Arabidopsis thaliana: one gene and its partner. The protein of the gene in region 2 interacts with the protein of the main gene of each other region in a pairwise test. Each region holds a gene or a part of one and is shown on either strand. Other genes may lie near its edges.

Region 1 (6,823 bases), on a different chromosome or scaffold from region 2:
TCCAAGTACCAAAACCATTATACAAAGCCATTAATGTAACTAATTCAAGGAAACTTTCATCGCAAAAGAAACAGAAAACTTACTTGATTCCAAGATCAATGTGCTCTTGGATACCAAATCCAAAGCAACCAGTGTCACTGAAGTTCCTCCTAAGAAGCTCATACTCCTTAACTTTCAAACCACTCTCAAGAAGCTGCATTGCCTTCTCACCTCTCACAGTCACATAACACGCAATCTTCTCATTACGCCTGATACCAAAAGACCTCACAGTGTACCTCGCTGTATAACAAAAACCACAACATACATCAGAATCAAGATCAACACAAAATCAAACTTAAATCCCTGAAAGATTTCAAATTCACATACCCTTAGAGAAGACAGGGGTTTGTCCACTGAGCTGCTCCAACACCTATACGAAATAACCAAAAACAATAATTCAAATCTAAATCACTAAATCAATGATGGATAATCGTAAAGGTCAGATTTTTACAAACAAAATCGAACCTTGGAGGCACGAGTGAGACGATCACCACTCTCACCAACGGAAATGTTGAGAACAAGTTTCTGAACCTTAATGTCCCTCATGGGGTTCGAGAGCTTCTTCTCCGACGCCTGAGAAACAAAACAAAGCCGAAAAATAAACCCATTGAACTAAACACATTTTCATTGAATCGATCTACAGAGACGAACGAAACAAATACCATTTTAAGGAGATCAATGTCGAGCTAAGAGACGAAGCAGTGTAGAGTTTGCAAAGCCCAAAACTGCGTCGAGTGCAAAGTGAGAGAACTTATATGGGTCGGTACTTAGGGTTTCTTGAATTAACGCAATGACGAAATTACCCCTTTGATTTATTAAAATGGTTTAATGGGCCAATATTATAAAGCCCATAAGAAAAGCATAATCTTAAGCATATATTTGGCCTTCTTAGTTACATAAGGCAAATAGTCTTTCATTCGCCGAATCACTTTATTATGTATGAGTTTTAAAATTAACGATAGATAATTTTTTATGAGACTGTGGAAACGCAAATCTTCATTTATTTTTGGAAGAACAGAATAAATAAGAGTTATTGAGAAAACAAATTTTTACAGTTAATGCCATGACAATGACAACAAAATCAAGAAGACTAGTTAAGACACTATGAAGTCTATCATCGTGGTCCAGAGAGCTCAATGGCTTCAATAATAAAGGACTGCTCTTCATGACCATTACTGTAGTTCCTAGAGACACTTGGAGCTCTAGCTTCATACCCTCCTTCACACTGTTCCACTAAACCTTCTAGTACCTTCAACACTTGAGACATCCTCGGTCTTAGATTCGGATGTGGCTGTGTACAAAGCAAAGCCAATTCCACTACTTCCTCCAACACCAAATCATCAAACTCTCCCTTCAAATCTCTGTCCACCATCTCTGCAAATCTCTTCTCTGCTTTCAATGTCCTTACCTACAAAAACCAATGGTTTAGATTTAAGTTTTGTCCTTATGGGTTCAGTCTAAGTTGAGTAAATGACTCATAGAATTTTTTTACTTACCCAGCTCAATATCATTCCTTTTCGAACTTGACCATTGCCTTGATCAATCATCTTATGACCTGTTATGAGTTCAAGGATTAGTACTCCGAATCCGAAAACATCGGTTTTCTCTGAGGACTGTCCAGTGGAAAGGTACTCGGGAGCGATGTGTCCAATGGTTCCTCGGACTGCGGTAGTGACATGTGAATCTCTCTGGTCTAAAAGCTTTGCTAGACCAAAATCGCCAACTATTGCTTCAAAGCTCTCATCAAGTAGAATATTTGCAGCTTTGACGTCTCTGTGAATAATCTTTGGATTGCATTGCTCGTGCAAGTAAACAAGTCCTCGAGCTGCGCCGAGTGCAATGCTTATCCTCCGATTCCAATCTAGAGACGGCTTTTCTCCATAATTGTCTGAAACATGTAATCTTATAAGGAACTTTTCGCGTTATATATCGAAAGAATAACAAAACAAGAAATGTGTTAATTGAAAACCTCTCAGACGATCAGCTACGCTTCCATTTGGCATGTACGGATACACAAGCATTCTCTCTTCCGGGGTCATACAGAATCCAAAGAGGCGTAAAAGGTTACGGTGAACAGCTAAGCCAATCATCTCTACTTCGGTTTGAAACTGAACTTCTCCTGTATAAATCGGATCTTTCAATCTTTTAACTGCCACCACAGTTCCATTTGGGAGATACCCTTTATAAACCATCCCAAACCCTCCTTGTCCCAAAATGTTCTTTGGACTAAAATTGCTTGTTGCGGTTTGTATTTCGCGAAAACTGAACCTTTTCAGATGGCCGATTTCAAATTCGTAGTCTTGCTGCACTAAGAAATCCATAAAAAGTAATGCAGATTTTAGCAAAGTCTTGACATATATTGTATATGACAGACAGAGAGAGACTATTAGATATGTACCGTGTGATCTTGAGAGACGTGATCGATGCCAAAGCACCCAGAAGAAGAGAAACATTAGGGAGATGATAAAGGCAACAACAATGCCAAATGCAAAAGAGAGCACTAAGCTGTGATGTTTGCTATTGTCCTTTTCAGACAAACCCGTCGCTGCAGATCGATTGCAGCTAGTTAAATAAACGAAACCATGTTTTAAATAAAGTTTTGCAAAGAATTTTCGAAGCAACATACCATTTCTCACAGGTGTAGCATCTGAGCAAAGCTCTTGGGAAGCTGGACCACAAAGAAATGCATTTCCTACAATCCTAAAACAGAAAAGTTTATCAAGAAGCTTTCACATAAGTTGCAACGGCTAATAATCATGCATTTTTCGCATATCTTACCTGTAATCTTTTGCTGATATATTCGGAGTTGGTCCGCTTAGATTGTTGAAAGATAGATCCCTATTCAAGTTTTTCATAAATAAAAAAACATTAGTCTAAGAAACATTATACGAAATAGAAATTTCCTGGAGCTGTAATGTTAGGTAGAGTAAGACATACAAGAAAGAAAGACCTGAGAGGCCAGCGACGAGGTGAGGGACTTGCCCAGATAAAAGATTCCTGCTAAGCCGCCTACAAGACTTAACCTTGTAAGAAAATAACAATTGCAACATTAAGTAAATCAAGAATCTTTGCATCAAACTCACAAGTAGTTTAAGTGAGTTAAGAACCCTAAAGAAGCTGGGATTTCACCACTAAACCGATTCCCCGATAAATCAAGCGTTTCAAGCTCAGAGAGTTGGCCTAACTCAGAAGGAATCGGACCAGTTAACTGATTATTCTGAAGTAACCTACAATAATAACAAGTAACCCCATTAGTTACAACAACACATACTTGAATTCCAAGATTAACCACAAATTCATTTAACTCACAAAGTATGAAGATGAGTTAATTCCCCAATACTAGTAGATAGTATCCCTGATAATCCTTTACTAGCCATCTCTCTGCATTAAAGATTTCAATAAACTCAGCAAAGAAACGTTTCTCAGAGACATTTAGTCGAACAAGTGGTGTGCAAAAGATACTCACAGAGAAACCACAAAACCTTCAGAAGAACAACCAACCATGTTCCAAGTACAAGGATCAACAGAGTTAATATCCCAACCAGACAAAACCTCTTTCTCATCTTTCATCTTGTTCTTCACTGACATTAACGCAGCCACTACAATAACCCAAAAATATGGATTAAGTCAAAACCTTTTTACACAATAAAAGAAAGATCTTTGATACTTTTTTCACCTTCATAGTTAACACCCTTGGGAGATAAAAGACTATCCATGGCAGAAACAGAGTCAAGAACAGAGTAATAATAAACCCAGATTCCTAAAAACAGAAACTTCATCAAAGAAATCTCCATCGTAGAAAAAGTATAAGAATTCTCTAGACTTCAATGTTAGTTATCATTTGTATGCCCTTTCTTCTAGGGCAGACCATTTGAAACATTATAAATACATTAAAAAGATAAGTTTTTTTTGGCATTAAATTGAATCGAGATGAAGAAGAAGAAGAAGAAGACAAATAAAGAAATTGACGATTATAGCAAATGGAAGCGGGAAAATCCTCGAAGTTGTCAAACGATTGTTTCCTTGTCTTCTGTTCTGTAAGACTTTTTTTTGTTTTTATATCTGACTTTTGACAGTGTTAGTGAGATTAGATCCTCTGTAATCGGTTCTACGAGAACAATGGTACAACAGCACACTCTTGAATCTGATATGGTATTCCGATCAACGGCTTGATTTATCTTTATTTCACCATTGAAAAAGTCAATAATGCTCAAGACTAATGCTCGTATGAACGATATTGGGTTAGTAATAAGTTGGGTTAGTATGGAATAAATGGTGTGACACAATATTTGAATGGTGATGATTTTTGTAACAATAACAAAAAATAATTATCTTGCGACTAAAATAATTATCAAGTTTTAATTAATTTTTGATAACATTTCGAGTAATAGCAAAGTCTTCAAGCTTCAAGACTCTTAAAACATGCAATATAATGCTTATGTGCTCATGCACGGCTGATTTAGTCATTTTACCCTTTCTCCATAAATCTTGTTTAGCCTCATTTTACACTTTTTCGTTGCAATTAGGACATATAATTCCTTCATGTGTTAATGGTCCTCATTCCTCTGCTAATCGCTTCCATTCTCATACCATTTTAACATGAAATAATTCCGCGACGAATTTTCAGAGATCTATCCCAAAAAAACATTATGTCCTTGAGTTTTTAGTAGGTCTTGTACATACCGATACCCTTTATATCCTGCAATTAATAGTTCATTTGCAACTTCAGGACTATCCTTCGCCCAAGAAATGATCTTTGATTTGATAATAACGTCACTTGCTTGCTTTTCATCTACAATATCCACACCAAAGTCATCTCACGTAAGATTCTATAAGTATAATATTAAAGAACATTTTTCTAGAAATATAATATTAAATTTTTTTACCTGAAATGACTGAGGTAGAGTCGATATAGGTAGAATCAAAGTAACTGAAGGTACCGAGAAAAAGTTCATTAGGGTCACCAACCGCCTTAATCGTAACGGGGTCAACGTGTTTTGAGATACCATAATTTTCGGTATCCCAATACACAACGTTTTTGGCAAGTGTGTAAAAGGTATCCTTTTTTGCAAGTGCGTAACAACTATCCTCTTCAAACGGTAGAATTACAAACTAACTAAAATAATTTACCTTGTAATTCAGTAGAGTAAATTTTACAAATTCTTGTTTAAATTACTTATGTATTGGTCTTAAACAGCTTGGTCTTTTTAGTTTTGAGTTTGGATATAATTGATCTTGGATCTAATGCTTTCTTGAGTTTTTTATATTACCTATGTTAGTATGTTTGCATTTCTGCTACTGATCTCAAATCATTGTAAAATCTCTCATACATATCATTTAGAATGTGGGTAAAATTATACTATGAAATAGTAATAAAAGCGCAAATATATCATAAAGCAAAAATGTGAACGATAAGATGATCCAAACTAAATTCGAAATGGTATCAAAGTGGCAAAGACGGTCTATGGCATAATTCACCAAAGCCACTGCTTACGACATCATTAAAAATATAGAATTATTTTCTGAATATTGGTTAGGTTGTGTATGCACACAATTCGTCCATGTCATATTGTCATATAGTATTTTTATCATTTTTAAGTTAATGTTTTGCTAATGTGATTGTTTTTTCATATATTTAAAGATTTTGAACCATATATTATTTTGTAAAGTCACGTGGATCCACCATTTTTCGTAGGTGCATGAAATAATTTGAACAAAACTTACAAATATTAGTTTTGTAATTAAAATAAAAGATATTTTTAAATTTATAGTGTTAGCATCTTTCAATCATTTATGAAAATTAAATAATAAAATAAATATTGTATTATTTATTTTTTCTAAATATCAAATAAAACATTTTTTTATACAGTAAATTACAATTTTTTTCTTTTAAACTTGTTTGTTAAGTTTTATATTTTTGATTTCGCTTTAGGGAATTATAGATGTTTTGACTAATTTAATAGTTAAGTGTATTGAATAATAACTCGAGCAATTAAATTAACCATTAGATCACATCTCGTCCAAATCGTTGAGTTACCACAGAAACTTGAGATCAAGTGTTTGAATCTATCTCGGTACCCACTTCTCTTCTCTCTTCCTCTCTCTCTCTCTCATGTTGTTACGTAAATGATTTGGAGATTAAACTAAAATTATTATAATTTGAACAATTTTATTATTAGAGAAGCAATTTCTTTTTTCTCCTAGTGAATTATTATTATTGAAGTGATTAAACTAGTGTTTTCTACACCTATAAATAATGTTTTGCAGATGTAATTTGAATCATTTGATCAGTTAACGCAAATACCTAAACAAGAGTCCTAAGCTTCGCCGCCCGATAATAATGTATGATTTGATGCCACGTCAACAAAATACCATTCAAATTCGGTTTGATAAATTTCGGTTCGGTTCAGGTAAAAACCGTTTGGTTCGACCAGCCTTAAAAACCGAACCCTCTCTAAACTCGTTTGTCGTTCTCGCTCTCTCTCCGCCGCTTTCTCTCTAAAATGGTGATCGATGTTCGAAAAATGTTTCCTTTTTCCCGAAATTCACAGTAAAAAAGATATGAATTCTCTAAAATCTTTGAGATACAGTAGCATTAGAGAAGCTTTGACACATCAAAACCCAACAAAGTCTTCATTTTTATGCCCACTTTACTTCTACAATCAACGAAGATGGTTAAAGCCTGTAGATTCAGCACAAACAAGGTTAGAGAATCGAACAAGAGATCATCAATTAGACAAAATCATTCCCCAGATTAGGAAACTAAACATCATCCTCGAGATTT
Region 2 (6,823 bases):
CAACAAGTAACACAAATTTTTCCCCCTCCTTTAGTCAACCCACTACCCCATCCTTTGGTCAACCCACTACCCCATCCTTTAGGTCAACTGTATCAAATACTACATCCGTTTTTGGATCATCCTCTAGTTTAACAACAAACACATCGCAGCCACTTGGTTCATCAATATTTGGTTCTACTCCTGCACATGGGTCAACTCCAGGATTTAGCATTGGTGGATTTAACAACAGTCAGTCATCTCCGCTGTTTGGTTCAAACCCCTCATTTGCACAAAATACCACTCCTGCATTCAGCCAGACTAGTCCTTTGTTTGGACAGAATACCACTCCTGCATTAGGACAGTCTAGTTCTGTGTTTGGACAGAATACCAATCCTGCACTTGTACAGAGCAACACTTTCAGTACACCTTCCACTGGCTTTGGGAACACGTTTTCAAGCTCTTCATCCTTAACTACAAGCATCTCCCCCTTTGGTCAAATAACGGTTAGTTTTTCTGTAACTAATTTAAATGCCAGTTCACTTCAGAGTTGATGTCTCTTTCACTTCCGTTTGAGTTATGTAGGGATTTCTAATATGAGTTTATTTTTGCAGCCTGCTGTTACGCCCTTTCAATCAGCTCAGCCAACTCAACCATTAGGTGCTTTTGGTTTCAACAACTTTGGTCAAACCCAAATAGGTATGTGAATCAGTCAAAGGCACCCTGAATATTATCATCTTGAATACTCGAAGCCAAGTCTTGTATGTTTATGTTTCTGAAGCTAATACAACTGACATTGCAGGTGCAATGGGAACTTTTAGCCAAGGAAACTTTAAGCAACAGTATGGTCTCTCTGACCTCAGTGTTTCCGACTCTTATTTCCGACTAGATACCACTAGTTTAATTGTACTTTGGAAGTTGCGTCTCTGGAGCTTAATTCTTTTCTTTTTGTTTTGTTTTGTTGACAGGCCTGCATTGGGTAACTCTGCTGTTATGCAACCAACTCCTGTTACAAACCCATTTGGAACACTTCCTGCTTTGCCTCAGATTTCAATTGCTCAAGGTGGAAATTCACCTTCGATTCAGTATGGTATCTCCAGCATGCCTGTAAGTTTTTCTGCCTTTTTCAACACCCACACACACCACCCTTTTTCTTCATAACTTCTTTCCAAATTTGAAGCAAATAAAATATAGATATTCTCAAAGATACAATGTTACAGAAACAAATGACTACTCCATGTTATTACCCTGAATATTTTCCTTTCTTCTCAGGTCGTTGATAAGCCTGCTCCTGTTAGAGTATCACCACTCCTAACTTCTCGACACCTTTTACAAAGGCGGGTCAGGCTACCAACAAGAAAGTACCGTCCTAGTGATGATGGTCCAAAGGTATGTTTTTCTATTTTCTGAATTTTGGCTTTGTCTTGAATATTTCAGTCTTTAGTGATGTTTACTGAAGGTCTTTCTACCTGTTTGTTTCACCAATGTTTGTCCAGGTTCCATTCTTCAGCGATGAAGAGGAGAATTCCAGTACACCAAAGGCTGATGCGTTTTTCATTCCAAGGGAGAACCCTAGAGCTTTATTTATACGCCCAGTTGAAAGGGTAAAATCAGAACATCCAAAGGATAGCCCGACCCCACTGCAGGAGAACGGTAAGCTTCCCTTTTTTTTTTCATTCATTGGCTTATTTATTGCAAGATTTAGAGCTTTGTTTCAATTGCAAAAAGAAGCTTTTCATTGTCCCAATAGCTCGGAAGATGATCTGCTTGCATATTAATATAGTGGCTGAATTTGATCATATCTGACCCCTTATTACATTTGAAATTCAGGTAAGAGGTCGAATGGGGTTACTAATGGAGCCAACCATGAGAGTGAGTATTTTAAATATGCATTTGTAACAAAATTGTGATTAAAGTTTGTGCATTGGTGAGGCCATTCACTGACTCTACTGTTAATATGTGCAGCTAAGGATAACGGTGCAATTCGTGAAGCTCCCCCGGTAAAAGTCAATCAGAAACAGAACGGGACACATGAAAATCACGGAGGCGACAAAAACGGTTCACACAGTTCACCAAGTGGAGCAGATATTGAGTCATTAATGCCGAAGTTGCATCACTCTGAATATTTCACAGAGCCTCGGATCCAAGAACTGGCTGCAAAAGAAAGGGTTGAACAGGGTTATTGCAAGCGGGTAAAGGACTTTGTTGTTGGGAGACACGGTTACGGGAGCATAAAGTTTCTAGGAGAGACGGATGTGTGTAGACTCGACCTGGAAATGGTGGTTCAGTTCAAAAACCGGGAAGTGAATGTGTACATGGACGAGAGCAAAAAACCGCCGGTGGGTCAAGGATTGAATAAGCCTGCGGTGGTAACTTTGCTGAACATAAAATGTATGGACAAGAAGACCGGCACGCAAGTGATGGAAGGCGAGAGATTGGACAAGTACAAGGAAATGCTCAAGAGGAAAGCTGGGGAACAAGGAGCTCAGTTTGTGTCTTATGATCCTGTGAATGGCGAGTGGACTTTCAAGGTCGAACATTTCAGTTCCTACAAGCTTGGAGATGAATATGATGTGTAGAAAAGGACCAAAGTCGTTGTCATATGTAGACTAGTGTCTCGATTATTTTTTATTTTTTTTACCTTGTGGGGTTTTGTCTATTGGTCTTTTGCAATATAATGTCAAAATGATACGTCTTTTACCTCATTGGCTCAACCTGGAAAAATTCAATATTCATTTTGTTGTTTTCGCCAATTAATATAATAATATCTCACTAAGAAGCAGAAAAAAAAAATAGAGTCGTGGAGGACACAAAACTGGTCTCACCAGTTGTTTCGTGGTTTCTTCTAAAGATATTATTAGTTCCTAATTTATAAAAAATTTTGATGACTTTAATCACATCCTAAAAAGTAAATAAAAGAAAGATTATAAACTATTTAGAGAATTTTTTATAATTTTATTGATTAGCTTTTATAATTTTGTAAAATTTCTCAAATAATTTTTCTATTTTAATAATATTTTTCATGACTTTCTATGACTTTATTTTGTGAAAAAAATGTAGAAAGTTATGAACCAATAACATAATAATTCAAATCATTAACAATCAGAAATTATTATATTTTAATTGAATAACACAAAACTTTTACTGATTTTATAAGAGTATGAATCTAATAACTCCAAATTTATGAAGATTTTAGATTACTTTTTACAAATCTTATTTGAATAACATAAACTTTAACATATTTTTAAAAAGTCTTGATTGAATATCAACAGATTCTACATAACACTTTAAATCACTAACTTTTTTTTTGAAATCATATATAAACCAATAACACCCCCTAATTGTATACCTAAACTAAAAATAATTTAGACAAAACAAAGATGGGAGAGAGAGAGGAAGTGAAACTGTTGGGAACATGGTACAGTCCGGTCGTGATAAGAGCAAAGATCGCTCTTCGTCTCAAATCGGTTGATTATGATTACGTTGAAGAGGATTTGTTCGGATCTAAGAGTGAGCTTCTTCTCAAATCGAACCCTATTTTCAAGAAAGTCCCGGTTCTCATCCACAACACTAAACCGGTTTGTGTATCTCTTAACATCGTTGAATACATCGACGAGACGTGGAACTCATCTGGATCGTCCATTCTTCCTTCTCATCCTTATGATCGTGCCCTTGCTCGCTTCTGGTCTGTCTTTGTTGATGACAAGGTCAGTTTTTTTTGTGTCTTTTTTTTCTGATGTCCAACAAATTTAATTTATGAGTGATCAGTAATACTTTATGCAATAAAATTTTGATATTTTTAGCGAGATACTAATAATTATATCTTATTTTTTGAATGACAAAAACTTATTGTTTATGCATATCTAAATTGTTGAAAATTTGAAATTAAATGGACCATGCAAATATGCAATATGAAGTGTGGAAAATTCGGCTTAAAATAATTGAAATCTAGTCCTTTTTCCCATTGTTTCAACAAAAACAGAACTATTTATTTATCACTCTAAATAATTTGATGGATGATTGAAATTGGTCCCAAATATCTTCAATGAGTTTTAAACTTGATCATTATAAAATCAATTAGGATGTTCCTACCATGAAATAATCAATATTTTATCAAGAAGAAACCATTAAGCTTAATTTTGATTTAGAACAAATTTGTATCACACTATTTTCGCTAATTTTCCATTTCAAGAATGCAGTGGTTACCGACTTTGATGGCAGCTGTGGTCGCTAAATCGGAAGAAGCAAAAGCAAAAGGCATGGAAGAAGTGGAAGAAGGGTTGTTGCAACTAGAAGCTGCGTTTATTGCTCTAAGCAAAGGGAAATCTTTTTTTGGCGGTGAAACAATCGGGTTCATAGACATTTGCCTTGGAAGCTTTTTAGTTCTCTTAAAAGCTAGAGAGAAGCTTAAAAACGAAAAGATTTTAGACGAATTAAAAACTCCTTCTCTTTATAGATGGGCCAACCAGTTTTTGTCAAATGAAATGGTGAAGAATGTGGTGCCGGATATTGATAAAGTCGCCAAGTTTATAGAAGAGTTTGAGGATAGAGCTCAATATATCCGGTGCTTCTAGATCTTGAGATCATCACAGAAATCGTTAGAAAAGAGTGGAGGTTTAGTCTTGGCTTCAAAGTCAAACTTGTTATCTCCAAAAACAGAGTTTCATATGGTTTATTCATATGTTAGTTAATCTAAAAGAAGAACATGGTTCTATTTCTCATTTGCTAAAAATCTTTTATAACTAATTAAAAATATTATGCTGGGACATATTCAACAATAGAACAAGTGTCTGTCACTATTCAGCAAAATAGTTGTTAGGAGATCTCGGGATTACGAGATCGTTGTGAAATATATTTCCTTATTGTTATTAGGAAACATAATATTTGTGTATATCTTCCTATTATTAAATAAGATATTTAGAATTATCCTAAATGTAAAAAACTTGCTAAACAAATTATATATTTGTATAAATAAACCTCCTATTAGGCTAATCAATAAAATTGAGAGAAACTATTACATTTCCTCCGTGCTTATTTCCTTCTTAAAGTGCAAAAATAAACTTTGATGGAGTGAGAATATATGACATGCTTCTTCTTCTTTCTTCACTTATGTATTATCCTTACATATTAAGGGTCAAAGGTGAAAACAAAGAAAACATGACCGATGAAGGCGCTACTTCACAAAGACACAAGACTTTCGATGTGATTTGGGTAAACATTCATGGTGTACATATACTTGTCAGAAAGTCTAACTTCATCACCCACAGTTTCGACTTCTCTAATACTGTTTCTCCTGAAATCAAAATATAGAATATAAACCGATTTAGAAAACCAAAAAGGTGAAAAATAAGCTCACCAGCATTACTAACATCTTTGAAGTGTAGCTTTTTGTTCTGTATTGGGTCCATTTCAGAAAGTGGTAACGAGAGAGGTTACCAAAATTAGGGTTTGTCAATTGATAACTTCCCACACAAGTAAATTGACCATCGGAACTATTCTTGTCTACGGGATACGAGAAAACGAACAGAATGTCACCTTTTCGGACGGTTAGCAGTACAGAAGGCCGCGATGCCAAGGACCCAGTCGCAAAGGAGTTGATGAAATTTTGACTGGTGGTGTTGGCCGACCAGAGCTTAGAGACGGAGCGAAATCTCCCAACCGATTTCGCAGGAAGTCTTGAGAGTATCTCAATGGTTAAATCCAAAGGAACATGGTCTGATTGAGATGTATCATTATCACGTGAGGACATTGTCGAAGAAGATTATGTTCTTCTCTCGATCTTTCCCGTCTTCTCTTCCATGGTCTATCGCTCCAGTTTTTCACTTTCTCTGAACCCTAATTGAGAATACTCATTTGATTATTAATATAATATTATAATCTTAATGTTATTTTTACAAAATTAGGGAACTTTGTCGTAAAGTTTAATTTGGTAAAATTCCAAAAATAAATTCAAATTATTTTTTATTTGAATGTTTAATACCCAAAAAATATTAGAAACCTAAAGCGTCTCTCATTAATATTTTGGAAACTTATCAATTTACATTAGAAGTTTATAACTATATTCAGTTGTAAACTTATACAAGTTAATATTAATAAACCTAAAATTCAATTTTTTTTTTTAATAATTATATGTATTTATATCTTATACAAGTTAATATTAATATACTCCATGATAATAACAAAAAATATATTTGATAAATTAAGTTATGTTTATAAAAAAATAGTCAAAAGCTAGCACAAGGAAACAAAACGATTGTGCCCTAAGCCCTAAGTTAACAATTTGTCTTCATATATCTCGAGAGAAAAGAGTGGGCAAGCGTAGATAGTTAAAAACTTAGTTTGAAATTTGTAAGAATAATGACGACAATGTCAGATCTTTCTGTGGATTTGGTAGGGGAGATACTCTCTAGGGTTCCGCTAACATCTCTGAGCGCAGTGCGATGTACTTGCAAATCGTGGAACACTTTATCTAAGCATCAGATTTTTGGTAAAGCAGAATTAGCAGCGACTAAGCAGTTTTTGGGGTTCACTGTGATGGATTATAAGGTTTGTTCCTTGAGATTCGATCTCCAAGGAATCCGCAACGACGGTGATGACTTTGTTGATCACGGTAAATCCGGTTTAAAAATAAGGAATAAAGCGGTTAAGAAAAATCACGGTAACGGACTTCACCGGAAAACTGGCCGATGCCACATTGTCGAAAGAAGTGAACTTAACCAAGTTGAAGTATATGACGTCTTTCACTCCGACGGCTTATTGCTATGCGTTACCAAGGACCACTGGAGGCTCGTGGTATGGAACCCGTATTTGGGGCAAATCAGATGGATTCGAGCCAGAAAACAATTCG

What was found. The genes of interacting proteins can lie anywhere in the genome.
Region 1: the proteins of GSTU15 (region 2) and AT5G45780 interact in a protein complementation assay, tested with the Arabidopsis thaliana proteins (one large-scale study listed by BioGRID).

What each region holds. Positions count from the first base shown.
Region 1 is NC_003076.8:18,565,793-18,572,615, forward strand, and holds AT5G45780 (Leucine-rich repeat protein kinase family protein), read right to left. Parts: upstream 4,115-6,823; 5' UTR 3,834-4,114; coding exon 3,716-3,833; exon of another isoform or gene 3,639-3,715; coding exon 3,506-3,638; intron 3,421-3,505; coding exon 3,349-3,420; intron 3,267-3,348; coding exon 3,123-3,266; intron 3,049-3,122; coding exon 2,977-3,048; intron 2,878-2,976; coding exon 2,818-2,877; intron 2,740-2,817; coding exon 2,666-2,739; intron 2,585-2,665; coding exon 2,438-2,584; intron 2,348-2,437; coding exon 2,009-2,347; intron 1,928-2,008; coding exon 1,536-1,927; intron 1,448-1,535; coding exon 1,154-1,447; 3' UTR 1,006-1,153; downstream 1-1,005. Other genes in the region: AT5G45775 (Ribosomal L5P family protein), read right to left, coding at 84-279, 367-409, 505-612, 702-704; AT5G45790 (Ubiquitin carboxyl-terminal hydrolase family protein), read left to right, coding at 6,553-6,823.
Region 2 is NC_003070.9:21,926,679-21,933,501, forward strand, and holds GSTU15 (glutathione S-transferase TAU 15), read left to right. Parts: upstream 1-3,331; 5' UTR 3,332-3,356; coding exon 3,357-3,683; intron 3,684-4,175; coding exon 4,176-4,550; 3' UTR 4,551-4,688; downstream 4,689-6,823. Other genes in the region: AT1G59660 (Nucleoporin autopeptidase), read left to right, coding at 1-482, 591-675, 758-818, 945-1,083, 1,249-1,365, 1,473-1,629, 1,807-1,848, 1,942-2,555; AT1G59675 (F-box family protein), read right to left, coding at 5,155-5,269, 5,346-5,725; EDA1 (F-box associated ubiquitination effector family protein), read left to right, coding at 6,334-6,768. UniProt on the Arabidopsis thaliana protein: May be involved in the conjugation of reduced glutathione to a wide number of exogenous and endogenous hydrophobic electrophiles and have a detoxification role against certain herbicides.